Linked DNA regions of Struthio camelus. The protein of the gene in region 4 purifies or fractionates together with the protein of the main gene of each other region. This does not show direct contact. Links are inferred from orthologs where the notes say so. Each region holds a gene or a part of one and is shown on either strand. Other genes may lie near its edges.

Region 1 (7,665 bases), on a different chromosome or scaffold from region 4:
TAAATCAACATGAATACTTTCCTACCAAGGATGATCACGCTGCCTAACACCCTTAAAAAAAAAAAAAAAAAAAAAGCAATGAGTTTCCTCAGTTTTCCCTTTCCAGCTAGTTCCCAAAGCAGACTGAAAGCCTTCAAGATTTTGTCAGTCTTTCCAAAGCCTATTTCAGGTTACAATAATAAGATTCTGTGTTCAGGGTACAAACACCACTACTTTAGAAACTTACTGAAAGAAGTATGATACACAATCTTACCAGTTGTCAGTACCAGAACTACCTTTTTGTTCTAATAAGGAAACTTATTAAGGAAGTGCTGGGGGGGGGAGAGGGGGAAGGAGGGAGGTGGAGACTATATCAAGAAAGTAGAAGGTAAGCATTTGGGCAAAATAATATTAAAGAAAGGTAGGAAAAGGGACATTAGAATTTGTTATTTTTCCGTATCAGTTTCGCTCCATTTGTATCTTACTTTCCTCCATTCCCTACTTGGCACACTTTTATCATCCATCTTCACGTTTTCTTAGACACTGCTCCCCTGAAATTCTCCTTGTGCAACAAGTAGCCTGTACCATCTCTTCAAAACTTAGCCTTAAAGAAAACATTTAGTCCAAAACCTATAAATGAAGAACCTTTACTACATGACTCCTACATATGACCATACAACCTTTTACTCTTTTGTATGGGCTCAAATTGTGTGAGCAAAGAAAGAATCAGAGAGAATAAAGAAAAAACATAACCTGAGATCCTGATGGAGCAATGTATCCCAACAGAAAAAGCATCTCTTTTGCTCTATGGAAGGGAGCACAGCGTCCTGTTCTACAGCCAAAAATGGATAACGCCTGAGGTCATGCTCATGTTTTAATACTATACTCTTTCCAAATACTATCAACTACCGGTGTTTCTTGTATTTTTAATTACAGCTTAATAAGAATTTAGTCGACTTGCTCAATTTAACTCTATATGTAAGCTTGCTAGACACATTCTTAAAGTAATATTTATATGGCACACAAGATAAAAAGATGTTAGCATACAAATGTTACATACATATGATTTTCCATTTGAATTTGATTTACTTTTTACAATAACTAAACTGTAGTTTAGTTTTTGCCAAAACAGTTATCCAGTCTGTCCAATAAATAGTGAAGAGAACGCAAGAGACACACAGGCAATTACAGTTGTACAATAAGAACTAAAAAAAAAGCCAAAAACCAAAAAACACCCTCACCATAATAAAGTACAGCCTTACTTCAAACACAAACACAAGATGTCACGCAAGTACTAAACTACTTTCTCCTGAAAGCGTGCACTAGTGATGTAAGTGATAGACAATCAGATAAAGATAATTTAAGTGAGGTGTATGTATCACGTTCATCACTCTCAGTTTCTTTTAGAATACTCTGAGCATAAGGTAAATTCAGCTGTTTCATGTCTTTCTGAAGTATTACTTTGTACAAGCACATACAATATTTATAGCGTATCTATATTACACAGAAAATGCGCTGAGTAGAATTTCTATCAGAAATACAGAAAAATAGAAGAATTCCACTGGTTTGGAAGGAAAAAACCTGAAGGCATGCACGTCACCTTACCTCCCTCCTAAAACACAGGCTTTGACACCCATTTTTAACTATACAGGCGCTCACTTTTTAAGCATTTCATCTATGCCATCGTCAGCAAAGAGAAGTCAATTACAGCCAAAGCACCTACCCATCAAACGCAAAACAAAGACCAACATAAAAACATTTCAGCAGTTGTGTTAGGTCGGAAAATAGAATGCCTAACCAAATGATCAGAGTTCTCCGTAAGTAACCGCTCAGGAGTCAAACATGCAAGTCAGAATAAGGCTTGCACAACAAAACCCAGCTCTGTAGGAGCTGGTCTGCTGCAGTTTAATTTTCCAGCATTGCTCACCATCATTAATTGTTGATTTGTTTTGAAAAATAGATAGTGATTTATTTGCAGCGGGATGAAGTTACAGACCTAGATTCCTGACCAGAGGCTCTCAACGTAAACAATACAAAACCTATAAATTAACCACTCTTCATCTGGCAATTTAGATGTAAAATTCATAGTCCTTCGTCTAAAAGGCAGTCCCTACTCCCCCCCGTCTTTCCTTCGCGGGTGCCTTCTAACAGAGCCTGATGCAAAGAATTAAAAAAAAAAAAATCAGCCTGAATGAAACGAGCTCGCAGCAAGTGGGGACTCACCGAACCGAGGTCCTCCCGGTCCCCACCTCTTCCCGGCCGAGGATCACTGCTAAGTGCAGAGCGGGGAGAGAACGAAACGGCGGTGGGGGGGGGGGGGTCTTTGGCCAAGCCCGGGCAGCGGCGCGAGGCGGCGGCGGGAGCCCTGGGTGCAGCCCGAGCGGGGCTAGGCCAGCTGCACGGGGCAGGGAGGGGACACCCGCTGGAGCCGCGATCACCAGCGCTGGAGAACAGCCTCCCTCCCCCCGCCCGCCACTACCCCCCCCGCCAGGAGCCACGGGCGCTGAGCGCGCGACGCCGCCCGCCGGACAGCCGCGAGCGCCCCGGCCACTGGGGGGGGGGGGGTGACCCCCAGACCACAGCGCCGAGCTGGGGGCACAGCACACCCCAGCCAAGGTCACCCCCTCGCGGGGCCTCTCCGCGGGCGCGGAGGGGGGCGGCAAATTTAATTTGCGACGCCAGCCCCGGGAAAGGGGGGAGGGGAGCAGCCCCGCGAAGGGGTGGGGGGGATGGGAGGGGGCTCAAGTCCCGGGCCACGGGGAGAGCTCCCCCCCTCACCCCGCGCTTCTCCTCTTCCTCAAGCGCTGGCCGCGGAGCTCGGTCCGAGCTGGCGCCCCCCGCCCCCGCCGAGGAGCGGTGGACGGGGGGGGGGGGGTAACCGCGGCCGAGCTGCCGTGCTCCTTACCCCACTGCAGCCGCCTCGCCTCGCCTCGCTGGTCCCAGGCGGGTCCGCTCCGCGCTGCCGCTGCTCTGGGCTCGGAGAGGAGCTGCCGCCGTAGCCGCAGCCAATCGCCTCTAACCCCCTCCCCTTCCGCAGCTCGCCCCGGTCCCCCTGTCGGCTTCAAAATGGCGCCAACTCGTCTCCGGCTGCTCCAATGGAACCGCCGAGGGAAGCGAGCGAGGCCAGTGCGGGACAGCAGCGCCCCCTGCCGGCCCGCGCGGCGCCGCGCCGGCGCGGGCACGCGCCGGGACCGCCGGTCACACGGCCCGCGGCGAAACTCCGCGAAACGGCGTCCGGCCGCCGCGCCGAGCCGGCCCGCGGCGCCCCAACGCCACTCAGGGACACCCGCTGCCCTGGCGCCGCGGGCTAGGACCCCAAGCACCGCTTCCAGGCGAGGGGAGAAAGCGAGCCACGGCCGCCACCCCCCTCCATGCATACCCGTGCCCCGGGGCCCAATACAGCCCTCCCTCACTTTCCAGCAAGGGAAGCGGCGACGAACCCTACCTCCCCGGAAGACGTTCAGTAGTTACACGCCACTGTGAATCATGGCTTAAAGCGAGAAAAGAGACTTAGAAAAACTAACACGAGGTTTGCAGGCAAGCAGACGACCTTACTTCAGCAATCCTAGCAGTATAAACTGCCAACAGTTTCAGAAATCAAAGACCGTGCACAGGAGATGCAGCAAATGGCCCAAATCCAGAGAGGACTGTGCAATCAGTTGACAGATGAACTGTGGTAGATTTGCTGTTCTGCTGTGCAAATTAATGAAATAAATACTTCCCCAAGACAATATGAATTATAAAATGCTTGTTATAAAACAATGAGGAATAAAGATGCTCAGCTGTGGAGAAAGCAGAAAAAAAGTTGATGAGCAATTGCTCATCAAACCCTTTGGTTGCACTTCAGTGAGTGCAAGAGTTTCAGGGGGTATTCTGACAGGAAAATAAGAACAGAAAAGTGATGTAATTTAATCTCATTGCTACATAGAAAATGCTACATTTACGAATGAGATGTCTGAAGACAATAGATGTGTCCAAAGTGTTATGATTTAAAAGATGTGAAAGTCCTAGTCAGCAGATCTGCTGAAATACTTTCAAGGCTTTGTCTACAGTGGGATACAATCATCTTTTAAAGTGTGTGTTAGTTATAACATCTTGGCTAATATTTTAAATCTTTAAATAAATTCCTCAAGCTTTCTGCTAACACATTTAAAACAGCTTGCTTCACTTTCATCCAAATTTTAAACTCAGTTAAACATCCTCATCTTCTAACCAAATCTACATCAGTCCTATCAAGATAAAAATGCAAAAACTATTACATAGAAATGACTTTTCAGGCCCAAAACTACCCTTGTTTACATTTCTGAGAGTGAACTATTTGTCCTACTCTTCTGGAAAATGAACATACTACTGCACAGGCACAAAAAAGAAAATATTTTGTCTGGCAATTTTATATTACTGATTATCACTGGGAAGCATCCTGCACTTGCAGTCAAGGATATAATTTTTTCACATAAGTTGAACAATTTCTCTGCAATCCTCCCATTGTGCTGGCTTATCTAGATATCAGCTCTTAAGTTATGGAACACATCTCTTTTTTTAATGGAGCACTTGCACATGCGTACAGTGATATATACAAAACAGTAGACAAGCTGAATATTCATACAGCTATTGAAGTTGCAAAACCATGTGTATAATGTGAAAGTAACTATTGTGTTGCCATACTCTGTTTGCAAATATGTTTATCTTTTGCTCCCTTTTCCTGCTAGAACAGGCTACAGTAGCACTTCACACTTTCACCTCATATCAGGATGCCTAGGAATGATTTGAAAGTGAAATAAGGTGAAGTGCCTTGGTAGCAGGGCAACGGGAGGCCAGCCCCCCATTTACCGTCTGGCCTTCATTTCTTGCCTGGAGTTAGACTCTAAGATTTCAGAGGTCAACTTTCTGAGGTATTCCTCCGTTTCTCCACCCCCTCTTAATTGTGAGATAGTTAAAATACAGCACAAACATCCCCAAGATGCTTACTACAGGGATTAATGGCGTTTGGCTCTCTGCAGCTCAGCGGTAATAGCGTTCCTAACCCTCACGAGGGAGCCCTTCCGACAGCGCTTCTCTTCGTGAGAAGAAATCCGTTGCTAAACTTCAAACTGCCCTCCTGAAGCGTTACCAGAGATCCCCCTCCGGTTCGCGCGGAGGGGCGCAAAGCGTGGCGGTGGCCGCCGTTTGAGGAGTGCCGCGCGCCCCCCATGGCGGCCGCCCGAGTGGCCGTTGCTGGCGGCCGTTGGAGCGCTGAGGGGGCGCCCAACGGCCGACGCCGGCGCGAGGCTGCAGGAGGCAGCAGGGAGCCGCCGCTACCCCGCGCGTCAGCCCCGTCTGTAACCGGAGAGCCGAAATACCACCTTCTCAACAGTCATTTGTTGACTTAGTCATACGCGTTTCACCGGAGTTTCTTCAGAAAATACTTTGGGAAGTTTTAATGCTGCTGTGTGGGGACCTAAATTCTAGGTTAGGGAGGGAACAGCAAGCAGCCAGCGCCTTTCTGATCCAGTCCTAAAAAGAACTACCCTGTGTAATCTATAGAAGCAGGTTCCTGAAGGTGGACTCAGTGCCTCCCCCAAGAAACATCACATCTCACAGGGCACTGGACGACCGTAAGCAGACTCATTTTACTAGTTTTGCCCCCTTCTAGAAATACAGGCAAAAGAAATGATAAATGTATGATGTTACTTATCAATAATGTGTATAATCTTATGGAAGACTCACAATATGTACACACAATTGAATAATGTTTTGCTGAGTATGTCATACAGAGAAAGCCAGATTATGAAGACCAAAACTTTTACACAGAATTTCGTGAAGACAGTGTTCACATCGCCCTACGTTTAAGGGACAATGAACATCCCAAAGAACATCCTAGAAAACAGTACTCTCCTCATAGAAGTGCCTGTATCTCAGCTTTCTATCTGCAAAAACATGGTGCAAAAATAGCAGAGTACAATGAAAGGCAGCTCTTTACCTTAGCCAGAGTAATACACAGAACCTCCTCAAGACGGAAAATGCCCTTCTGAGACACACCAGTAGTCCGTCTAGCCTGGTTTTCAGCTGCACCATGATCTGAAATGTCATTTTCCCCAAGTGAGACTCATACCCTGCAAGTGCAAGGTATGCAATTTCCCCAAATGCAGAAAACTTGAAAGCATAATTTGTCGCACTAGGAGATTGCATTTATGCTTTTATCTGTATAAACAAGAACAATAGCAAAAGGAGATACTACTGAAGGAGACCTGCTTACTTTCTGTGCATTGTACACTCCCAGCATCCACAATTGCTGTAATAGGCATGTTGACATCTCTGGTTTGTACAAGATGTACAAACAGGGGTATCCCTGCCTATTCCATTTAGAATCCATTTTATGGACCTGTTGTCCATTGGTTTGTCTAGTCCCCTTTTGAACCTGCTGATAGTGTATATTTTCATAGCCTCCTTTGGCAGCAGATTCCAGAACAGCAAATAGCCCCCAGTTCTAGTATTCTTCATGCAACAGTTCTGCATTCACCTTATCCAGTGCCTTCCTGATCTGTAAAATTTGACCCTACGCCTCCCATCCTTGCCCTGTCGCAGTCAGAGTCCTAACCCCTTTGATCTCTCCTCCTAAGACAGCCAATCTACCCCCTTGATCATTTTAGTTATCCTTCTCCATACCTTCTTGAAATTTGCTGTGCCCTTGCAGCCCAGAACTGCACACTGTACTCACTTCAGATAAGGGTACATCAAGGCTTCCCATAGTAGCATGCTGCCCTCCCTCTTGGTCTCTGCTCTTTCTGATGACACCTAACTTTTCGTTGGCTTCTTCAGCTGCTGCTGCACTTTGAGCCAAAGATTTCAGAGGGCTTGTTAACAATACCTTCAAGATTTTTTCTGAGTTTAAATATCCAGGATTGGCAGATAATCCTATGTTTTACCTCACATTAATCTACCTCAAAGCCCACCTGCCATTTTTCTATCCATTCAGTTTTGTGAGGCTTTCTGGAGTTCTTGCCACTCGCACCACAGTTGATTACCCAGAAGAGCTTAACATCATCCAAGTATCATTCAATATGCACTCCCTTTTCCAGGTCATTGACAAAGATACTGAATAAAACAACATCTTAAAACAATAGCAGCAAACCCAAACATCTCTGGGAGACCACATTGCTGACTTTTCTCCAACTGTCAAGGTAATATCACCATCAGAAGACTGACTAAACATTTTCACTGAGTCTCCTTCCTTATTATAGTAACCCTGAGCCATTTGCAAGTGCAAATCTCTGTACATCTTTCGCCTTTTAGTCCCTCCATGTATACCAGCGCTTTCATTTGTCTTCTGAATTTAACACCTCAAATCCCCTTCTGAATACCAAGAGTGATAACTTTGCCATTCCATTTTTTCTCCCATCTAGCTTAAAGGATTAGGTCCTTTAAGCTACTCTGACACAGAAGAAGATCTCAACTCCAGTGCAGCAAACCCCATAGTCTCCTTACTGAAATCACTTCCAAAAAGAGTGTTCCATGGAAAAAGCAGAATCCAGGGGACAGGCTGTCTTTATTCTGTTATATATTATTGCTTTTTCTATAAATCTTAGCCATCTCCAGCACTTTATAAAATATATAACACAACAGAAAAAATAAAAATTTATTTCCACTACTTTGGCATGATTTTACCTTTTTTCCCCTCACAGCCTTTGCAATCTATCTCAAATGGGC
Region 2 (7,788 bases), on a different chromosome or scaffold from region 4:
TCTGTGACTGGGCATATCACTTAAGAAAAGTGCATACAAAAATTAGTTGACCAAAGTATTAAGTTCCAAAATACTCAGGAAATTTACTTGCCTGAATAGGAAAAGAATCAAAGGTAAAGCTTGAGAGAGAGTTTTACGGTGTTAATGGAATAAACTACTGAAATAAAATCTGGTATTGAAGAAGAGTGACAAAACAAAACATCTTGCCTCGAGCTGACTCGAAACAGAGAAGAGCTGAACAAAGAACATACTCGAAATGGCAAAATGAGGAGATGCGAGGACGTACTGAGAAATAAGCTTACAATGGAAAACACCTTCCTAGTCGACTAAGTTATCTGGAATTTTACTATAGACAATAAACCCCAGAGGACATGCTTTTAACATTTATCATTTACTTTAATATTATAGGGGAGGAAAAAAAAAACTGCGCATCTTTCAAAAAGAGGCAGACACCTCAATAGGAATTCACTCACTTAGGCTATACGTAGTTGACCTCAGAAAATAAGTCACTAAGACAACCTAATACAAAGCACACTGAGATAAATCCCTTTTTTTAACCAAGGGGACAATCTGTCTGTATCCTTCTTTCACCTTCTCTTCTGGGCGGAAGACTGTAAAAATAAAGTTTTGCTGTTTTCAAATTTGTAAATGATGGTGTTTTACCCCCAAAAGCACACATTTGTCTTTTAGAACCAGCTATCCTAGAAACAATATCCAAATATCTGTTAGGTTACATGGGAATAACGAATACATTTTCTGGAGACAAGTCTTTTACCCAACCAAGTCAAGGACCAGTACAGGCTGAAAAGCCGTGGAAAACTAGACAATGGAAATAGAGCATAATATAATTTTTACTGGTATTGCATGAATTCAGTCAGAGCCTTTTGCCTAATGAATACCTTTCAACAAAAAGTCTCTAATGGCCAAGGCCAACGTTTTCAAAACCTGACTCTCTTGCCAAAAAAGTGAATGGGATGAAACAGTTTTGAAAATCGCACTTGGTGATTCCAGCTCCTTTTCCTATGCTTATATGTAGCTTTTGTTAAGCTTATTTGAGCTTTCCTCAAATACTTTATGTTTTGCTCCAATATATTGTTTTGCTTAAAAAAAAAAAAAAAGTTTCGCTGTGTTTATTTGACATCTGTTGCAGGGAGGGGTGTTGATTAATGCTTTTTAATCTGTAACAGAATTTGATATCTCTTCCTACTGGTTAAAGGAAACTTTTTATAGACCATAAGGTCCAAGCCACCTGAAAGTATTATTTCTAGTGTTCACCCAAGCAAAAATTTCAAGAAAGAATTGTGGTATATTGATTCCCCCCCCAACCCTTACTTAGTATATAATGTAATTAGCGCCTCTGCAGTAGAGTCTGATTTGGCAATTTTAATCAGACTGCCTGCCGGTACAGCCAGGGCTGCTAGGTGACACTTGAGATCTGAAGAGTGCGGGTAAAAATAACCTCTGTTCAACAAGACATGATGAACACCAGACAGCTGAGTCACCTTTGAAACCAATTTTGATTTTTTTGCATTAGAGGAAAATATTAAAGAGAGAGGAATAACATGCTCAAAAGTCCATCTCAAACATATCTTTAATTGACTATCCTGTCATGTAAACACTGAGCTTCCTTCAGATTGCTGTCATTAACTTTAACTTTACAGCAATACAGAGCGCTCAGTCACCTTTGAGAAACCTCAGCCTAATGTAGAGAAGCAATCTTTAAAAAAATTTCAGCTCCATTTAAAAAGTGCAATTTCTAAACACGTGTTTCCTACACAGTATCCACTCACTATTTATTAAGGTTTCCAATGTTTTCAGCAAAGTTAAAAAACGAGTAGGGCCCCAAATCTGCAACACAATACATGCATTTGTGGAGCTTGCGGATGCTTTGCAAGACAACTATAACATCATAGAAAGTTACTACGCATCAAACATTCATTTAACAACAAACTAAATAAGCTAGTGAGGAAATACGCGTTCTTTGAAGTCTAGTGACCTAACCAAAACGCCAGGAGGGAAAGTATTTCAGGAAGACTTTCACACTGATTTTCAGGTTGAACTTCTTTGAAGACTTCCTTAAAAGATCATCAACAGGAGGATAAGCAGTGATACGGTAGGCAAGCAAAACCATTGGCTTTTTCCTAGCCAAAAACATGCGAACGAGAACGTCAGCTCCTTCTGCTTTTTACTATCTCAGTACCAACCTGAAAACAAGGGTTACACAGGGAGAGCATGCCCACCCTGGAGAACCAGAAACGATTTCCCAGGCGATAGAAAAGTTCCCTAGAAAACAACAACAGAAACCCCACAGAAGCCAATACTAGCGCTGCATACAAGCTGGCGGCGACGTGCTTGTCAGAGGAGTCCTCAGCTGCGACAGAGCGCGGACACATCCCGCCATGCCGGCGGCTGCCAGCCGGGGCACCCGCAGGCTGAGGGGGCGAGGGGAGCCGGCGGCGCGGCCGGGACCCCCGGGAAGGGAAGGGGCTGCAGCCCGGGGGTGGCGAGGGAAACCTGGCTAAGGAAGAAGCCGCGGGGGGGTAGGGGGAGGGCAGGGAGGCTGAGGCCTGGGGGAAGCTGCCCCGGGGCTGGGGAGCAGCCGGGAGCGGGGGAAGAGGCAGCGGGGCGGCGGCAGAGCTGCCGCAGGGCGCTGGGAGAGGGGTAGGTCGGCAGCCGGCGGGGTGAGGGGGGGGGAAGCGGAGGCAGCCGGCGGCGGCTTCGCTGCACTCACAGGCGAGTCGTAGGAGAAGGCGCACTCCGTCTTGTAGACCCGGTCCCCTGACTTGGGCACCCGGATCGTGGGCATGTAGGGGACCAGCAGCTCGCCCAGGTCCCCGGCGGCCATCTGCGCATCGCCGCCGCCGCCGCCGAAGAGCGCGGCCCGCTGCATGTTCGCTCGCTCGGTCGCTCGCTGCCTCCGGCCGGCCGACGGCGAGCGGGCAATGGAGGCGGAGGGCAGCCGGGCCCGGGGCAGGGCAGGGCGCGGCGGTAGCGGTGGCGGCGGCGGCAGCGGCGGCGGGAGCCGGGCCTGGGGGAGGGGAAGGGGGAGGGAAGATGCTATTTTTAATCCAATGGCAGCAGGAGCGGCACCAGCTGCGGCGGCACCTCGGGGTCCCGGCGAGGGCGGGAAGGAGGGGCAGGGCGGGCGGCCCCCCGCCGCCTCCGCCCCTGCCTCTCAGGCACCTCCGGCCTCCGAGGCCGCCCGCGGGGGCGGCAGGGCCCGCCGCCGCCACCCCGGCTCCGGGGCGGCCCGGCCCCGCCCCGCGCGCCGCCGGCGACCGTTACGGGGCGCCCGGCGCTGAGGGGCCGCCGCGCCCCTCCCCCTCCCCCCCCCCAATTAGCCGTGATACGGCGTAGATTGGGTACAGGTTTTTCTCTGCGCGTACGAGCGGATTTGTCACCACCCCGCTACGGAGGGTGTTGTATTTCAGCGGAACAAGGCAGCGCCCCTGCCTGAACGGTGTATGAGTTATCTCGGCGAAGCGAAACAGCTGGTAAGGTGGAAGCGATGCCCAGGGGAGTTAAACTGCTCTGCGTGAGGCGACGGTGGGAGCCTGCGGCAGTGCCCGCGGCTGAACGCGGATGTCCGGTGCTGAGGCACAGTGTCTTAAGTCTACGGTGACCTTCTCCCACTTCTGCAGGGGTGCTCTTCTCACTGTGACAGAATACCGATAGCAGTAGAGGAAGAGGGAAGTAACTGAAAGTACCCTACTCGAAATCACGAGGTTTTTCAAACGATATCTAACTGCGTACGCCTGACAGGATTAGCAGCAGCAGGATTAAAGAAAAGACTGGTCCATTTAAAATTAAAGCCAGATAATTTAGATGAGTGGCCTTCCGGCTGTAGCTGACATTAAATCCAAGGGCTCATGGACCACCTGCAAGCAGGCAATTGAAAATAAAAGTTTGTAACACTTCACAGCAATCTGTGTACGTGTGACCTTTGCTAGGAGCACTTTTAACCTCAAAAACTAAAGGTTCAAAAGGTGGTTCTGAATTAACAACAGAGCTGAAAAACCACAGGTTCGTATCCAGCAATAAAGAAATGGGCTGCGAGCGTAAGCTAACCAGTATAGCCTCGTCTCAGCAATTTTTCAAGCAAAATCAAGTGGTGGGAAGCCTGTGAAATACCGCAAGCAGAATATGAGCTCAATGGAATGGCTTTAGACTTCCACAAGAATAGAATTTACATCAACGAATCATAACATAAGAAATCCTAAATCAATTAGAGTCTTCCTAATGTTTGGCAGTGTTAGGAAACAGCAAATGAGTGTTTACTTCAAATATTCTATGTACTATTGCTCAATATAATGAAAGTAATTAATTAGGTTTTAGCAGTCTGAAACCACAAGATGACCAGGATTTGCCAAAGAGGTTGGGCTTACTTCCTTTTTTAAAAAAAAAAAGTGGAAATTTCAGTGTGAACAGGTAATGTAGGGTCACAAACTAAGAAAGGCACAGTCTTTCCCTCTGTTACGGGATTTAAAACTAGAGGAATACTATGGCCATTAGAACCTGAGGAAACGTATCCCTCTAGTGGCAAAAGCCTGTCAGAAAAAAAGAGTAACCTATTTATTCCCAACTTTTTTTTTTCCAAAAGTGGTATAGAAAAATCACAGAATCACAGAATGGTTGCAGATGGAAGGGACCTCTGGAGATCATCTAGTCAACCCCCCCCCACTCAGGCAAAGTCACCTAGAGCACTTTGCCCAGGACCCTGTCCCAGACAGCTCTTGAATATCTCCAAGGATGGAGACTCCACCGCCTCTCTGGGCAACCTGTGCCAGTCAGTGCTCAGCCACCCTCACAGTAAAGTTTTTCCTCATGTTCAAATGAAACTTCCTGGGTTTCAGTTTGTGCCCGTTGCCTCTTGTCCTATCGCTGGGCACCACGGAGAAGAGTCTGGCCCCATCCTCTTGCTGTTTTCCCTTCAGATACTTATACACATTGATCAGATCCCCCCTCAGTCTTCTCTTCTCCAGGATGAAGAGTCCCAGCTTCCTTAGCCTTTCCTCATAGGAGAGGTGCTCCAGTCCCTTCATCATCTTAGTAGCCCTGAAAGGCTGCATACTTTTGAAAATGCATGGCAGGCACGTGTACGGATGTCCTCACATGCAGCTTAAAACAACTAATGCTATCCCAGAAGGTACTTGTTCACTGTTGTCATGTATAAAAATCATCAAGCAATTCCATTCTTACAAACGTGAAAGTAGGCAGCCTCCTCTTGAAGTGCTCTTAAGTAATTGTTTCAGATTTAAGTATGTTCTTACTTGATCTTCAGTAAAGGCCTAACTTCTGCTAACATCTGCAAACCGATTGTAACAAAATTGGTTTTGAATACGGTAATACTCTTCAGAGAAATGTAAAGTAGCAAAATGCAAAATAAGTAAAAAAGCTTGTAATACTAACTAAATTTCAAAGCTTTTTGTTTGCATCTGCAGTCCTACCGTTCCTATCTGTTTGCCTTGTTTGGTATTTTCTGTATGTAACTTCTATACCTTCACTAACATGCAGCAATTGACGAAATAGGTGTTAAAACTGTATGAGGATCATTCCTCATTTACACCATCTTTAATTTCTTATTTTATGGAAGAAACTGATAATATTAAAAAAAAAAAAACAACAGAGATAGGACTTCATACACAATATACAGCCCCTTCCAGCTAGGCAGACCAGATCATGCTAGATAATTACCAATATTCAGTATTCTGTTTATGTAACATCCTGGATCTCTATTTGCTTCGTTCCCCTTACGTATTTCTTAATTTGTTCCTGATTAACCACAGTTGGAGAGCACATTTCTACTCAACTTATATATAAACTCTTTTGTTTTGCTTTTTGATTCCAGTTCACCTTGGAAAAGAAGCCTTTAAAATACACTCAAGTGTTACCAGAGAGAGGACTGTCTTTTTCATCTGTGAAGTCTCTTATACCGTCTCTCTATATTACATACTTTGGGAGTATAAAGTTTTGAAATTTTCACCTTGAGAGTGTTATTTAGGACTTTGATTTGTACATGCTAAAAACTGCCAACAAACAGCAGAAGATGGTATCTGTTTACCTGCAGTAATATTATCCATGAAAAACATTAATCAATGTCTACCTATGCAGTTCTCTTTGGCTTGATCCTTGCTCTTCAGACTTCAAGCAACCCTTTCGTAACAACCTTCACGAAGCAGTTTCCTATTTTTCCCTTCTTCATATTACTAAGCCTGTTACAGTAAGAAAACTCTGTTGAACAGCAGTATCAATAATGTCACTACATCGCTAAAAAATTAGATATACAGCAGTTACTAGGAAAATACTTCGTTTCATATTTGCCCGCTTAGAGTCTTCCTAACAATGAAGCAAGTTCTACATGACAGACCATAGACTTTAACCTAAGAACTGCAGGATATTTTCAAGAATACATGAAAGACTTAAACTTACAAAAAGCCTTAAAGTCATAAAGACTTGAGTTTATATATACTACACACTTTTCTTAAATATTTAAGAAGTTTTCATTTGCTTTCTAGTCCTACAGCTGACAATATGGATAGTAATCGCTACAGGTTTAGGCAAGTGTTTCTGTCTTAATTCAGCCTTCTCAAAACACAGGTAGGATCTGAGGTAAAAAAAACCTAAAGCCTCATGAAAATATAAAAAGATAGTCCTCTGGACAACCACTAGGCATGCAATTCTCCAAGTCACCCGATACTCATTTTTAAAATTAAAATTATGTAACATAACGGGTAGGTACCTCTCAGTATGAGTTTTTTGAAGTGTTAATGTATTACAGAGCACTGACTTGGTTTAAACCTGCATCTATGAAGACACTTTCTGCCCCAAAGGGGGTATGTGGCTCCGTTTTAGATCCATTAGAAAAGGAAGCAGGTATTATATGAAATGTACCTCACTGAAAAAAATCAAAGTGTCAACAGAACAGAGCAACGTGGCAAGACGTTTTAGAATACCTCACTTTTTGGATGATCTAGACAAAGGGAGAAGTGTCCAGTTCAGAAAGAAGCAAAGATAAGCCTTTTTTTCTTCCCTTCCCTTTCCTTTTTTTTTTTTTTAAATAGTCTCTAAGAAAAGTCTTTTAGAAACATAGGCTGTACAGAAGGAGGCAGAAGGAGGTGGGACTGGAGAAAATGGGAAAACAGACAAGCATAAATTATGCATGATCTTAAAAATAAGAGGAAAAGTTTAAAAGTGGTGCCAAAATAACTAATGAAGGAAGAAGCTGCTTGGCTGACGCCATCAAAGAATAAGGGTATTAACAGATAGGTAAAGAAAGACACCTTTTGAGATAACACAGGGAAAACAATAGCTGACTGAATAAGATGCAAGTTTGGAACAAAGAGTGAAAGCCTGGTTTGACTCCAGGTAACGAGAAAGATAGCGCTTGTCTACAGTGACAATATTCCAAAGACCTAAAGACTTTCTTCTGATTTGGTTCATTTTCCACAAATTATCTGTCACAAGGCATCATAAAAGAAAAAAGCCTTACAGTTGTTTGTATCTTTCATTTACAACTTTAGGTAAGAGAAATCGCATGATGGATTCTAATATTATCAAGTTGTTTCACACAGATCAGGTCACAAAGCCCATTCTGTGTTGATGCTCCGGAGAAAAAGAGTAACTGTTGGCAACTGACATGAGGCCTTTTCTCTGATTAATAAGTTTAACAACTATACCCTGCACAGCTTCTTTCCAATTACTCGAACCAACAAAAACGATTTTTTTTTTAAATTTAATTCACTGAACAGCAGGATGCATATTGCATAATTCAGTCACAACTTGTTGGTA
Region 3 (7,350 bases), on a different chromosome or scaffold from region 4:
TTTCTTTGTCTAGCTACTGCTGAAACTCTAAACGTGGCTGGGCCTGAAGGGAACTGGCTCTCAATGACTCAGACTCCAGAGCATGAATCTCCAGACCTATGCAGACACCTGGCAAGGCTTCTGCTATATGACCAGGTCCTGGTTCAGGCACTTCCACATATGAAGCCTTCTCCACTCTACAGTCTCCTCCTGCATCTGCTACACAGAACGATCCAAAGCTGGCACTGTCCAGCCAACTTTCTGCAGTATATTCTGTTCCTACCTGAAGGTCTGTTTCAAGTCCTTCAAAAGTCTGCTGTGCAAATAGGGCTGCACCCTGGTGATCCCCAGCTGCCATATCTCTGGTGACGAATCTCTCACAATTCCCAGTTCTGGTAACTCCAAATGAAGGTTTGTTGCACATTGGGATGAAGCTGAAGCACAAGAAATGTTTGGACTTCAGCACAGGCCCAAATACAGAAACAGAAAAAAGATATATTCAGGTTTGCAGAAAGCATTTGCAATAAGAGGTCACAGATGAGAAGAAAATGACTGCTGGAGCATCAGAGCACAATGTGTGCTGGAACATGAGCCAGGTTTTTCACCAAGGTGATATCGAGTTACCGGTGACCTCAGAACAGTAGAGAACACATCAGAAAGCCAGGGATCCAGGTTGGAAAAGGGCATAAAACAGTTTGTAAATTTTGCTGGCGGTCCACACACAACGCCACTCCAAAATATTTTATCACACCAAAATATGCCACAATGAAACCTAATACACTTACCAACTTACACTGATTCAAGTTGCATCATATCAATGCAACTTAAAAAAATGCAAAACAGGAATGATAGTTTGTTCATGCAGATACATCCTAAAATAATGCTAAATATCTGGGGGAATCCACTAGATCAGGTCCTAGGCTGGAAACCACATCATGCGAATCTATCAGTAGAATATTATCTACTTCATGTGTTTAAATTCACTCCCTTTTCTGAGGCCACTAGGCCAACTGAACATAGCACATACACAGCTATTACACTAAAAAAAAAAAAAACTTAATGTAAACCACAGATAGATGACCTCATCCAGATCCAGGTACATCAATGAAAAATGGCATTGCCTCCAAATTACTGTCAATATCTATTTCAACAAGACTTAACCCTATTAATTTACCTCCAGAAAGCAATACACAAGTTCACCTCACATGATTTAAAAGAAAAGACGAGAGAGCAGAGGAGAGAGAGCAGAGGAGAGAGAGCAGAGGAGAGAGAGCAGAGGAGAGAGAGCAGAGGAGAGAGAGCAGAGGAGAGAGAGAAAAGAAAAAGGTCAGCCAGCTCAGCTTAAATAGCTGTAAATGCTGGTTTTAACTAATAACATTTTTGAATGGAATGTGGATCATTTACATAAACCATCCTGCTGATAGATCAAAATCCCCAGTGGAGTCATGAGAAGAAACAGCTGGAGAGCTTAACCTCTTCCACAAGCACAGCTGGATTCAGGAGAAAACATGGCCTTATTTAATTCTGAGAGGTAGTGTAACATAACACTTAATGGCCCTACTGACATTTTTATAGTAGCAAAGCCTCTGTAGTTTAGACAAAGGCAGCAACTTCCTAAAACTCAGGATTAATAATCTACAACTTTTACTGGAGCTAACTACACATAGAAAAAGTCTATTCAAAACAGAAACATGACTGATTATTTCAGTCATTTAGTGTAGACTACAGATCAGCACACAGGGAGGAGTCAAAGACAACAGGCCATGACACACCTCAGAACTACAACCATCCTACATGCCTATTACAACATCTTCATACAGTAACCCAAGACAACATAATTCTCTTTTTTAAATTGGACAAGGTCACAGCTAATGATCCACCTACACCACACAGTGAAACAGTTGTGAATATGCCATAGATGTTCCCTAAAACCATGCCCAGGCTAACATTTTTGTCACCTCTATTGCACTTTTGCATTTGCAACACTAAGAATCTGGCTTCTCTCCCACATTAGTGCTCTCCTTAGATGAAACGTACTAGCGTTAATACAACAGAGGGAGACTTCTTAAAGAAATCGAGTGTAAACAAAGGCATGAAAAGCACAGGAAAATACCACACTAAAAAAAAAGAACACAAATGAAGAAAGCCTATAAAGGAAAGCATTCTTAAGATGTGCTTGGATGCTGTTAGATTTCCTTTGTAGGCTCTACACACGGGTATAACCTACAGCAAGACAAACTACTGCAACTTAAAAGCACTACAAACACGTGACACAAGCTAGCCCTACCCTAGTAATGGTGACTACACCCCAGGTAAAGCGGGGCTAGAACTGTCGTGATTTCAAATACTCTGGATGTCTCTGCTACTCTGTAATTTGCTTCAGGTTTGTGTCTTAAGCTTATACTCTCCAATCATATCCCAAGTCCTATTGTATAAAGCTTTTACTTCAGTAGCCAATCCTGAAGCTAGGATTTGCCACTCAGTAAAGGTGAAACGGCTGAGGAGCAACTTCATCATCATCTTTGTTCTTTTGCTTCACCTGAAACCTCTTCCAAACAACTTGCGTAGGATTTGTGCTTAAGTTCCGTATGAATTATTGTCGTATTTTAACCACAAGGTCCCACCAAAAGCCTCATAAGACTTGAGACACATACTAAACTTTGTCAAGAGAGTAAAACGTTCCCGGAGTCAGCGTTCAAATCGTTATTAGTTCGGGACAAGAGTTAAGGGCGTACTGCTCTTCAGTATGTTTTCTTCCCTCCCCTCTGAAGCCCCTACGACCTTAGGGCACTCGATTAGCAGAACTGCAGAATACGTGCAGAACATCTCCCAAAGCATACGTGAACACTACGCTGCAACTTTGGAAACGTGCTTCTTTCAGCAGTTTTAGACCGTTCAAAATAAAAGCCTTAAAGCAGTAAAAATCTTTTGATTTCGTTTTGAAGGAAACTTCGTAAACGGCCCACTTAACTCACTGGGTTCTGCTCTCTGAGAAGCAGAGTAGGGACACCGTCCTCGACACGGCTGCTCAGGGCGAGCGGCGCGGCGTTTCCCCCGGTTTCAGAGCGGCGGCTCTTTCCACAGGGGGCTCCGGGGCTGCTGGTGCCGCCGGGCGGCAACCAGCCCCCTCGGAGGCCGCTGGGGAGGAGGAGGAGGAGGAGGAGGAGGAGGAGGGAGGGAGAACGACTCGGGCGTTTCCGAGAGAAAACCGGTCGCCGCGGCCGCCGCCTACGCAGTTACAGGCCGGGCAGAGCCGCAGCGAGGCAGCGGCGGGGGCGGCGTGACCAGTTCGCCCCCCGCACGCACGCACACACGCACGCAGCGAGGGCCGGGGCAGACCCACAGCCCTTCACCGGGCCCGCGCGAGGCGGGCAGCCCAGCGGCAAGGCCGGCCCGAGGCCCCCGCGCAGCGCAGGGCCCAGCCCCAGCCCCGCCATTCACGGCCCGCGCTCCCCGGCCTGCCTCCCTCCCCCGCTGCGGGCCGGGGGCGGCGGCGCAGGGGGCGGCTCCCGCGAGCCGGGCCGGGCCCCCTCCCCGCCGAGGCAGGTGGCTGGCGACGGGCCGCCCGCAGGGCCGAGCCCCTCGGCTCGCGGGAGCACCCGCCCCGCTCCCTCCCCTCCCGTGACGCCGGGGACCGGCCTGCCGGCGCCGCCCGCGCTCGCTCGGCAGCCGCCGAGGGGCGCGGGCCGCCTCCCCGCGCCCGCCGCCGACATGGCGGGCCGCCGCCGGGCCGCGGGCTAGGCCTCGCTGGCGCCGCCGCCGGGCCGCCTCGTCCTCCGCCAGCCCCGCGCCCTATGGGGAGGAGGGGGAGGACGAGGCTCGTGCCCGGCTCCTGCCGCTTCTCGCCGGACGCGGCCGGCCTTTACCGTGTCTCGCCGTGTCCCTGGCCCTCGGCTCCCTCGCTTCTGGCGGCGGCGGCGGCTGCCGCTCGGGGAGGAGCAGGGACCGGGGAGCGGCGCGGCGGCGGCCGGCGAGAGGGGGAGCGGCGGAGCGTGCGCCGCGGGGACACAGTGCCGCTCTCCGTCCGGCCGGGGAAGAACAGCCCGGGAGGAGGCTCCGCGCCCGCTCCCGGCCCCCTCCCCTCCCTCCCTCCGCCCGCCGCGCCGCGCCGCCCAGGCCGGCCGCCGGCCGCCCGCCCCGGCCCTGGCCCCGGCCCCCGCCTCGGGGCCGCTGCCAGCCCGGCTCGGCCCGGGCGGTGGTGCAGGCGGCGGCCTCACTCTAAAGGAAGTCGTTTGGGAAGGAAAACAAGCGATTTAGGAAGGGGCGGGAGGCAGGGGAGTGAAGTCCTGCGCCATGAAAGGCAGGCCGTGTTTAGTCTGCGGGCTGGCTAATTGCCGTCCTTGTCTCTGGATGGTTGCGCTTAACCGCCCTTTTCACGTCGTTAGCGATAAAACTGGCCGCTGGCTTCGCGTCTTAATCTTTGAAAAAAGGAACTGTATGCTGCACTGCTGTGGCAGAATCTGTGTTGAGAGATAGACTTTGCTTAGAAAGGGCATGACGACAGGATGCAGGTGGGTGCAGCGGAGAACTGCAGGTCGAGGACAGCAGGGTAGTTACGGCTATCAGCCGCGTAGCGACTGGTGGGCTTTGGATCAGTAATGAAAAGGAAGGGTGTTCCGTGTCTAGTGCCGCTGCCCTGTGTTACTAGCAGTTTATAACGTGGCAGCAGAAGAGTTCTGAGCGCGGTCTAGAACGAGGCTGATTCTGGGGCAGAAACTAGCGTTTCCGCGGCCGTCACGGGATCGGCGGTGTTCGTGAAGGAGCAGGAGGAGAGCGGAGGGGTCTGGCGCCTGCCGCGGGGTGGAGGAGGGAGCGGCAGCGCCGGGCGAGAGAAGGAGTACCGCGTTAGCGGAGGGTTTCGTTAGAGAGACGTTTACTTCTGCAACAAGCAATGAGCACTTGACAGATGGACAGTCATGCAAAAGAGGGTATAATAAACAGATTTTATTTACGTGTATGAGTAATATATATATGTATAGTATCATATATAAAAAACCGGAAGAATCCTGATCAACCTTACCCATTAGCTGATTTCCAAGAACCGCACTTACATGTATAGCCATAGGCCTCCTTGAAAGCTCTGTCTCGCTGCCTGGGCCAGCCAGATAATAGGGCAGGGTCTCAACTGCTTATCTTCCTGCTTTTCACTTGGCTCCAGGAGGATGATGATTTTTTCTCACATCCCTCCTTTGTGCCTCCATTGTCTCGAGAGACCTCCCCTTCCATCTGTATTCAACCATCTCCCATCGTGGCACAATACCGCAGGAGGAAGTTAGCTGGAGATGTCACACTGCGATTTTCCTAGTGAACAGAAGCTTCTTCTCTTGTGAAAGAAGAGAATCATTTCTTCCCCAAAGGGAGTAATATTGTCTCCCATCACGATCTTCACTTGCATTGTAATTCATCCAATTCAGAGAACAAGGTGGTTTTCTCCCAGCCTAATTTCTCTTTCATTTTCCTTCGAAGAGGGAAACAAGAAGTGGCCTTTAACAGACAGCTTACACTGAAGCGCTACTTATTTAGCACCTAAGCTTACATCCTTCATCACAAGAAAGATCAGGAAAAGTCACTGCCAGTTTTGTGTCGCAGTGACTCCTGCTCCCGCAGCTGCTTCCTTTTGCAGTCTCGCTATTGTTTCACTTCACTGTCAGGGCTGACCTGTTTGCATTAGAGCTGCAACTTTAATGTGAATAAAGAACCAGAAAGTACAAAAATAATTGATAGTTTTAAGACGAACTAATTATGGGGTGGCTCACTTGTGAAACTGCAGAAGGGTGCTCAAAGTAACTTGATCACAATCCCCAACTGCCTTCCATCTGATAGCAGAGTAAGTGAAAAGCAAATCATTTTTGTCTCCAGGATTGCATGTGTTCTTGCAATACAAATAATGTTAACATTCTGAAAATGGTATTAAAAGCATTTAGTATGATTTAGGAATGAAATTGATTTAGGCATTGTTAATTTGCCAGTCACTCTGGTATTTCAGTGGTTATCTTGTAGTTATATGGTATGCTACATTTAAATAAATAAGACCAAACATTTACATTTCTAATACAATACTTAAAAGCATTCAGTCCACAGAATGTGCTGGTAGGTTTAAAAAAGAAAAAAAAAGACTCTGCTATGACTCAGTGAAGTAAAATAAGAAATTCTTCAATATACTAATATTATAAATGTCCAAAAATATGGAGGAGAACAAATATTGATCAGAATTTGTGTGTTTGGTGCCAAGTGGTGTTTTCATGCATGTACAAGGAAGCGTTTGCTTAATTTTTTCAGTATCTGGACAAGTATCAGAAACAAAATCTTTTCTCTTTAAGGGCGTGATGCTGGTAACGTGTTAATCATACGTTTGGAAAGATAGGTCATGTAAATTCCAGTCTAATGACTTTGTCTTTATATTTTTAAGTTGCCAAAAAAGAGGAAGAGAAAGGTTTTTAGCATGCTTGAATCTGATAGCCTCCATTGAACTGCATTGCTAGTGGGGTGTTGCTGCTGGCACTTCATGCATGAAAGTATGTTGTTCTTTGCCAGTTGTACACATTACAGTATTTGACACCATGAAAATGCCAGACTAATTTGGGTACTGGCAGATTTCTCACTACTTCAGTTAACACTTTAAATAGGAGGGATATTGGCATCTAGATAGTTGAAAGAACCTCTGGTACAGTGAGTGATTATAATTATCTGTATTCCTTTTTTTTATTTTCACACAACTATTTTCAAACAACACAGTAATCACCTATTATCTGTTAATTTTTTTTCATTCCTTTGTCTCTCCTTATGTCTACAGTTGGCTTGTTTTACTTGGAATGGCTTGAACATACAGCATGTAATCTGTGCTGTTTGGCACAAGTGTTTAGTCTGGTCTTCGGTGAATACTTTCATGACAGATTTTTCCATTTCAGTTTCTGCAATGCTGCCTCTTCAAATAAAAACATTTTACTGTGTTCTTGCTTATCTTATAGTTCACATTAAAATATTATTACCAAAGATGAGCCATAAAAACAAGAAAATGACAATCACTTTTACTGTTTTTGATTATATACAGCCTACTAAGACCACTCAGCAAATTTGCACCTGCTTTCTTTCTATGCAAAAACAATTTGCAGCTTAAAGTTTGAGTAACATTATGGTATATTAAGATAGACATATTTATCTTTGTCAGGTTTAAAGACAGTTTTATTTCTACTTGCAATAGCATATTGAATTTGCAATAATATATAGTATAGGAAAACATCTGAGAAATAGGGTACGTTAAAATATAAATAATGCTACCTGACAAATTTGTCACGCCTGACAAATTCATGCCTGCCTTCAGTAATCTAAAACAAGTTATCTTTCAAGGAACTTGAGGCATAATCTTCATCC
Region 4 (7,919 bases):
AACTCACTCTACACCTGAACAATTCAAGAAACAAGTATTTCCAGGATCACATTTACATTCTGCAATGTTCTGGTAATATATGCTAAACAAACAGTGGGAGATAACTTCATCCATAAAACTTATCAGACAAAAGACAGGGAGAGCAACAAGATGCCTATTTATTCATCAGAAGTTTGATCTCAGTCACTTAGTCATCACTCCATTTGACAGCTCATAATCAGGGAATGATCACAGAAAATGCCTCTTCCTAACTGCTTGCTTTAGTAAATTAAAACTGTTTCACTGATAAGAGTGAAAATGGCGTGCCGGACAACAAATCCAACACTCTGAGTTTATTAAACTTTAAATGAAATATAACTTAAAGGTATTGACTAACCGTTACTCAGAAGTCAAAGAGCCCTTCTCTCTCCTTCCAGATGCTGCACTTCCCTCGTTAAGCCCCCTTTGCAAAATGTTTCCACTACTAGAATATGAAGCTAAGGAGATGAACAGGCAGAAAAACATTGATCCGTAACCATCATAAATCAGATCTAAGTAACAGCAGCTATATTTTTTATTTTGGAATAGAAATAGTCTCTGCCACATCCTGCAGTACTTAGCCTGCCTAAATCTTTTTGTAACTGCAGATGCTTTGTGACCCTTTTTTCTGTGGGCAAAACACCATTTTCTTGGTCATCACCATCAATTACAATCACTGAAGTACCTGCACTGTATTCACATCTAAACCCAAAGCAACTGTGTTTGGAAATAATTTAGAATTTCAGAATTTAACGGGGCAAGCAATAAGCAAGTTTAAGACAATGCACTAACTGAACACTATCACTCGTTATGGCTGTGAGTACAAACACTTCCCCCAGGAGCCAGCCTGCCTCACCCTCCAAAAGGAGCTTGTCACAGTAACAGCCAGCTCTGCCTCAGCATCAGCGGCTTTCAAAAAGCAACAACAGCTGCAGAATTCGTACTCTGGTCCTGCAAACAGCTCTAGGCCACAGCAACTGCATGCTGGTTTATTAAAAATAAATAAATAATTATACTGCCCAAACAGTGCTGTTTTCCCATTCACCAGTTTTCAAAAGAAAATTAAAAGAGCAGTAAAAATTCAGTTGCTAGTATTTTTCCCGTTTACCTCTAATACCTTAAAATTGTCTGGATTGGAGTAATCTATCTACTTTATTCCCAAAGCAATCTGAAAGTCTCTACAAAAAGCTGAACTCCCCCCAACCATTATTTCATAGATGTTACTATGCAGGCACAAACTTGGGCCATCTACATACCCATGCAACACTTAAAAGCTATGGTACAAGCAGACTGAGAACACCATTCTTTTCCGCAAAAGGATTTTTTCTAGAGGGCTTCTCACATCACCCATCCTACATGTTCTGAACGTTCATAACTTCTGCACTGCCTTGCATAGCCTCAAATTAAGACTTAAATCATTTTAATTTTCAAAGTTCAGGAATGATTTTGGTTCCAGCAGTTATTTCTTCCTAATGCCACCTTCATCCTCTTTCTTCTTAAGATTCATACGTTGTTACGCTCTCTTCTATTGCCCCTAGAACAGTACAGCTCATGGTTCAGCTAAATTTACTTTTCCAAATGAAACTCGTTCCCCCTGTTTTCCCTAATTTGGGCCGCTTAACATGATTCCATATACATCTTTCACTACTATTTATCTTTATGCAACTCAAGTTTGTAGAACAAAAAATCTTATTCAACCATTTTAAAGCGTGCACTTACAATGATACAGAGGGACTTACTAGAACACTATCAAAAAAGCACCTGCAACACTTCCTCGACACCCAAACAGCTTATGAAAACCTGTTTTTACATAGAAAACACCTTCAAATGTAAAGGTTCTTACTAAAGATACCTGCAGAGTGGCCGAACACCAGATTAATTTTGAGTCCACTAAGAAACAGGAATCCTAGCAGTTTTATTTGAACATACATAAGCAGTGCTAGGAAAGCAACCATTAAAAATTAAGGACCCTGCACAGACTTTCTCTTTAACTGAACGTTAACTGTAGTTTGCTTGCCAAGGGTGAGGTGTGCAGCCAAAACGGTCCACGTCCGGTGGTCCAAGGCAGCACCCCAATACGAGCAGTAACTCTCTCGGGAGAAGGGGCCATCAGAAACGCTTTGAATTGAAACCTTAAATGCAGGCACACTTCCTCACACGAAAACACACACAAATTAAAAAGCAAGCAAGCAAACAAACAGAATCCTTAACAGCTGAAAGACGCTTCCTGACAGCTAAGGATAGCCATTTACGAGACCCGCGTAGGGACGATCCTCCCGGGTCCAGGGTCAGCCGCCGTGCTGGGCACCGCCGCCGGGAGGGCCGCGAACACCAGGGCCGCCCCGTCCGGAGGGTCCCCGCGGAGCCCGCAGGGGGACCCTGGCTCCGACAGCGCCTCCCCTCCCCGACCCCAGCGCGCGCGAACAATGAATGAAACCGCCCGCAGGCACCGGGGCGGCAGAGGCAGCCGCCAGCCCAGCAGGGAGACGGGCCGCACACCCCTCCCGGGGAGGGGAACGGCGGCCTCCCCCCACCCGGGCAAGCGGATCGCCAAGTAAAGGCCTTCGGGCCCGCCACCCAGTAGCACGTCTCCGGCTGCGGGCCGGGGCCTGGCCCTGCCGCCCGGCCGCAGGCGGGACGGGCCGCGGCGGCGGGACGGGCCGCGCCGCGACAGGCCCGGGCCCAGCCGGCGCCGCGCAGGGCGGGCGGCTCGGCCGCCGGCGCCTTACCTGCTTGATGTACATGTCTCCGGCGGATGGGAGAGGCTGCCGCCCCGGTGCCTCTTGCCGCCGCTCAGCCTGCCCCCCACGGTCTCCTCCCGGCACGAGCGCTCGTCGTGGCCCCGAGTGGTCGCGGTGGTCGTCGCCGTCGCCTCCAGGCCCGTCAGCTTCCCCCGACTCGGCGGCGCAGCGCGGCGCTCGCCCCTCACACAAACAAAATGGCGGCGGAGCCTCCCCCATCCCGTCCCGGCGCGAACCATTCAGCGCGGTCGGGAGGGGGTGGAGCGGGGCGGAGGAAGCGCCCCTGCTCCGCCAGAGGAGGGACATCACACGGAAAAGCACGAGCATTTCCTTTGCTGAAGCATCTAAAGTACCTCTTTGGCCTTCCCAAGGCGTGACGACGGAGAGAAGTGCGACGGGGCGACGGCTCCTCCCGGCGCCGCAGGGAGGCCCCCCCGGAGAGTTGGGAAAAATGGTTTCTCCCCCTGGGGGGCGGGTTAGGCGCCAAAGGCAAGTGTGAGCCGAGCAGGGGGGAAGCAGCGGGACCGGGTGTGGGGAGGCGGTGGCGGCCGCCCCACGCGTGACCGCGACCCGCGCCGGCCATCGCCCGCCCTGCCACCGCCGCCGGCTCCGCCTGACGCCAGTGGCCCAAGCGGCTGGCAGGTCCGAGGCTCCGAGTGAGTTTCGGGCCCCTTCGCCGCTGTTTAGCTTTATTTGTAAAGCTCTGGCGAAGGCACAGGTGTACGTCTTTGCTCCGGAGGAGTTAAGGAACAGGAATGACGTCAATAACGTCAGAAAAAAAATAGAGCAAGAAAGACCCGCTTGAGTCTGTGTCTACCCGTGTATCTCCCAGAGATATCTCCAATATTCAGCTCCGCGAAGGGCTGTCCGACGCACAAAATAAACGAAGCGAAGGGAGAGAAGCGTTAACTTTCTTTTAATCCCTTTCAGTAAGGGTCATTCCAGACGTTAACTGTGAGAGGAGCAGGGGCACCGCATGTCAGAGAAAACAGGATTTTCGGTTTGACGACGCTCGAAGTCGGCGTTTCGGCCCGCGCCGGCGGACGCGAAGCGGGGTCGAACGGAACCTTCTGGTTCCTTCCTGACCCCGGAGGGGCGGGTGGACGGGTCGCTGCCCTTGCTTAAGGTGAAACCCCCCAGCCGGCCCTGGCCCTTTCTTAACTGCCCTTTAACGAAATGGCTTTAGTAAAGGGCCATCAGGAGGCTGATGTAATAGATTTCACCTACACCTTCAAAGAAGCGGTCCGTTGCTTCTTCAGAAAATACAGGGCTTAAAAAGCTGAAGTATTTAGTGAGTTGTTCTACTGAGCAACTCCGGAAAGAAAATTTCCTGCTCGGCTTTGTTCTGTACTACTTAAAATGCTCAAACTCGAGGAAAATATTTTCCCCGTTTGCATTTTCAGAGTTGCTACCGTAGGATTTCAAGGAGTCTCACAGCATCCTCCTGGGTTTGGTACGCGTGATAGATTTTAATCTTCGCTTTTTCAGGGAAGAAGTGAATTACGGATGCCACCATTTCAGGTCTGACTAGGGATAAAAACAAGAACATAGAGAAGAATGAGGGAATTTTCTTCACAACACACTTAACCAGTCCTACATGTGGTTAAAATTAATTATTTAAACCAATTTTGTGTTACTATTTTGCAGATAAATAAACAGAATGGAGCTACACATTCCTGATTAACTTGTAACTTTTAAAAATCACACAGTGAAGTACTCAGAAGTCAGGAAACGAGATGCTTGATGCCTTTGAGACTGTTAGTATCACACCACTCGGTGAAGTCGTGTGATACTAACCATTGACCTCAGCTGAGATACTTCAGTGAAGGTGGAGGAGAGGCATTCAAAACTAGTTTCTGAAGGCAGTAATAGCCACAGAAACATTTTAAAATTGACAAATTTTAAAAATGCATTCCTCTTCATCGTCTGATTTTAGAGCTATAAGGTGCCTTGAGTCACGTTTTCCAGCTTTCCTCTGTAGCTGCAAGGTCTAGAAACTTGTTTTCACTTAACCATAGAATCCCAGAGCTAAGATTTAATCTTCCTCCCCTAAAGAGGCAACTGAGGAACATAAGAGAGGTCATCAGCCAAGGAAGATTTTGCTTTTCTCTTGACTGCTGCACTGACATTATTGTACCTGGATGCGCTAAGTCCTCCTGAAAACCCTGGCTCCAGTCAAAGCTCTAAGAGCCAAGACCCCATAACCTACTAGCCCAGCTACATTTGGTGCCTCAGGCAGCTGGCTGTTATTGAGGCATAGCAACGAGTATATCAAACTCTATGTTATGAACAGACACAAATATAGACCTGAGGTCTTTTTTATTCACATGTATTCGTTCCTGGTTGTGGATGGCTAGTATACAACATACTTTTGCAGTTCAGAAATGAATTCTGTGTGTACACAGCTGTGCAGACACCAGGTTATATTTATTCATAGGAATAAGATCATATCACGTTGATGTTTCATCACAAAGCACCCGCCAGTGTCATGTACTTAAAAAAATACCAGTCATGTTCATTAAGAAATATTGTGGCAACCAACAGTCTTGTTCAAAGAGTGGGCAGGTGTTGCAGATGTATTTACATCTCCCCGCACACAGGTTTTGTCACATACCTTTTATTAGTATTAACTGAGGTTTTTATGTGAGGGAGGGGATTAGTGGAGTGCAGGGGTTGTTTTGTAGACCACCCTGGAAATATACACCCGATCCAAGGGCAACGTGTGTCGTCTTTATTCTGCCAAGCTGCCACTGCTACAGGCAGCTAGTAAAACAGTATACTTTATTCAGCACCTGCAAACATATAATAGTCAGAGCTTGCTACACGTGGCATTTGCATTAATGCATCTCTTCAGTAGCTGCTGCAGAGCTTACATACTTTTTTCTATGGCCCTGTTTTATAAGCAGTGTTTTTCTGTAAATATACTGTAATTAAACATTAGCATTAGAAAGGAGAAAGTGGGAACACTGCTTTAATTCATCCTGGCTTCATCAGCATAAAACATACATCAGTTATCTCTTTAATCAAACTTAATGGGAACATATAGATGGAATTTCAAATTTCTAGCTTCTCAAATAGTTAATTTTCTTTTCAAAAAAAGCTTTTTAAATCTTTTAAAAAACATTTAAAGTGTATTATTATCTTTTCTATTACCGCATTCAGTTGTGAACCAACACACGTATAGCCTGCTTTTCTTCATCACTGGTTGTAATTACTGAGGGTATTGAAAGCCACATTTTTAGATGATTGTGGAAATCGCTAGGCTCACTGACAACATCAATCACTTCTGCTTCATCATTCCGAGTCATTGCAGCAGGGAAGGCAGACAACAGAGCACCCTTGGGGCCACTTCTTGTTAATGCTGGTATTACAGCAGGAGCTAAAGAGCGATCCTGAGGTTAGGGGCTCCTTGTATTAGACACTGCAGCAACCCATATTTAAACAAAGCCTCTGCCTCTGAGCTGGCAGTCTGAACGCACAGCTATCTATAGGGTGATTATTCTATTTTTCACTTGAGAAACAAAGACAGTGAAACAACATCTTGTCTGAGGTTAAGCAGCATAGCTGTGGGACAGCCAAGAATACCTCTAGTTCTCCTAAATTCTCCATGGAAAGCACTAATCCTGAGCCACATCTTTCTCTCACCTTTGAATTCAGTGGAAGTTACAGCAAATGAAGGGAGAAAAACCAGCCCATCTTCTTTCTCCATGGTCCCGGGCTTCGGACAAGGCGCTCAACACTGCAGGCTTTGCAGGAGCAGGGGTACTTATTCTGAAAAGCATACAAGCCAAGGAGCTTTCCTTTCCAAGGAAACTTTTCTCCAGAGCAAAGTTACTGGTGTTTCTTGCTCTCTGAAGCTCTGTAGTCACCCCAGTCATCTTACAGCGCAAGAGTCTGACCACCACACACCTGAGGCTTGTACTTTCATCAGTGAGCAGCTGCCTGTTAAAAAGTAAGTGGAAGCCTGAAACCTGCAAGACCCTTATGTTATGTTATGTTTGATAAGGTGGTGGGTGTAATTGCAGGTCCAGGCTGTAGCTGTGCTGCAGTAGGTGGTGGCATCCGAGCTGTAGAGACAGGACACCTGTTTCCCACCACCCACTGTGGTGCCAAGATCACCGGGGCCACATGTGCAGGCCTGCACCTGGCACGCTGTCCACGTGGGAGACCTACAGGGAAAGCGCAAGAGCACCGCAATCGGTGTCGAGGGTGCTCGTGCCTGCGGCTTGGTGGTGCTGAGCTGCTGGCCACGCTCCTTTGGGAGGAGGAGAGGCGAGGTCGTAGCTGCTCCTTTGCCCATCGGCTTGGGGAGGCAGCTGCTTGCCTGTGGTCCATGCTGTGAGCAGCTCTTCTTCATCAGGCAGCTGCTCTGCGTTTATAAGCTCCCAGGGGGAGACAGCCAACAAAACAGTCAAGTTATGGAGCCCTGCCAAACACCCCAGTTATTTCAGGGTGGTCGGTACTCTCTTCTTTTCAGACTGCTTATGTTCCCTTTAAACAACTTGCAACAGTCGGGCAGTTCCTTTTCGAAAAAGTATATTTTCCTAGTGCTCTACAATCCTTTTCATGTGTAAAAGTAAATAATTATCATTGACTATCATAGTATTCATGCATAAAGAAACATTTTAATGAAGCTACCACGCTTGGCAAGAAGAGAGTGATAGGGTAAAACAACAGCAGCAAATAAGTAATAGAAAAAGGTTGCTTTTGCAAAGATGTATTTTATTACCGCTGAATATGTTGCAGGTTTATTAAGGGAAAGTAGTTGTTCTGCTCATCATCTTTCAGCAGAGCCTCTTTATAAATAAAATGTGGTTGTGGTTGAATTAATTTAATTTGGTTCACTAATTTTATAAAACAAACCATTACACAAATATGAAATTAATTAAATATCAGAGGTAATTCAGAACACATGCAATGGATTTCTACCAGCAGATGGCGCAGGATGAAACCGCCAAACGAAGCTAGGTTCATATTTATGCAATAGGAAGAGGCCTTATTTTAGCTGCAAAAGAATAGAAAACGTCAATATTTTTATTCACTCTTACGAAACAAGAGCCTTCTTACATTGGGAAATTTTGTGAAAGCAATATTTGCTCTGCATTTTAACCCTATTTTGTTTTAAATACCAGGCAAGGAAAGGGCTCGATCGTCAGCTCG

Evidence for each region.
Region 1: the proteins of SMC3 (region 4) and PDS5B purify together in Homo sapiens (co-immunoprecipitation; 7 studies listed by BioGRID and IntAct, with this or other methods). This does not show direct contact. The link is inferred for Struthio camelus from reciprocal best matches to the Homo sapiens genes SMC3 and PDS5B.
Region 2: the proteins of SMC3 (region 4) and USP13 purify together in Homo sapiens (affinity purification with mass spectrometry; 4 studies listed by BioGRID and IntAct, with this or other methods). This does not show direct contact. The link is inferred for Struthio camelus from reciprocal best matches to the Homo sapiens genes SMC3 and USP13.
Region 3: the proteins of SMC3 (region 4) and PDS5A purify together in Homo sapiens (affinity purification with western blotting; 8 studies listed by BioGRID and IntAct, with this or other methods). This does not show direct contact. The link is inferred for Struthio camelus from reciprocal best matches to the Homo sapiens genes SMC3 and PDS5A.

What each region holds. Positions count from the first base shown.
Region 1 is NC_090942.1:198,627,527-198,635,191, forward strand, and holds the start of PDS5B (sister chromatid cohesion protein PDS5 homolog B), read right to left. Parts: upstream 3,014-7,665; 5' UTR 2,885-3,013; intron 2,222-2,884; exon of another isoform or gene 2,203-2,221; intron 1-2,202. UniProt on the Homo sapiens protein: Regulator of sister chromatid cohesion in mitosis which may stabilize cohesin complex association with chromatin. May couple sister chromatid cohesion during mitosis to DNA replication.
Region 2 is NC_090950.1:24,654,025-24,661,812, forward strand, and holds the start of USP13 (ubiquitin carboxyl-terminal hydrolase 13), read right to left. Parts: upstream 3,011-7,788; 5' UTR 2,891-3,010; coding exon 2,732-2,890; intron 1-2,731. UniProt on the Homo sapiens protein: Deubiquitinase that mediates deubiquitination of target proteins such as BECN1, MITF, SKP2 and USP10 and is involved in various processes such as autophagy, endoplasmic reticulum-associated degradation (ERAD), cell cycle progression or DNA damage response.
Region 3 is NC_090945.1:61,488,978-61,496,327, forward strand, and holds the start of PDS5A (sister chromatid cohesion protein PDS5 homolog A), read left to right. Parts: upstream 1-4,350; 5' UTR 4,351-4,473; coding exon 4,474-4,490; intron 4,491-7,350. UniProt on the Homo sapiens protein: Probable regulator of sister chromatid cohesion in mitosis which may stabilize cohesin complex association with chromatin. May couple sister chromatid cohesion during mitosis to DNA replication.
Region 4 is NC_090948.1:12,332,420-12,340,338, forward strand, and holds the start of SMC3 (structural maintenance of chromosomes protein 3), read right to left. Parts: upstream 3,010-7,919; 5' UTR 2,979-3,009; coding exon 2,748-2,978; intron 1-2,747. UniProt on the Homo sapiens protein: Central component of cohesin, a complex required for chromosome cohesion during the cell cycle. The cohesin complex may form a large proteinaceous ring within which sister chromatids can be trapped.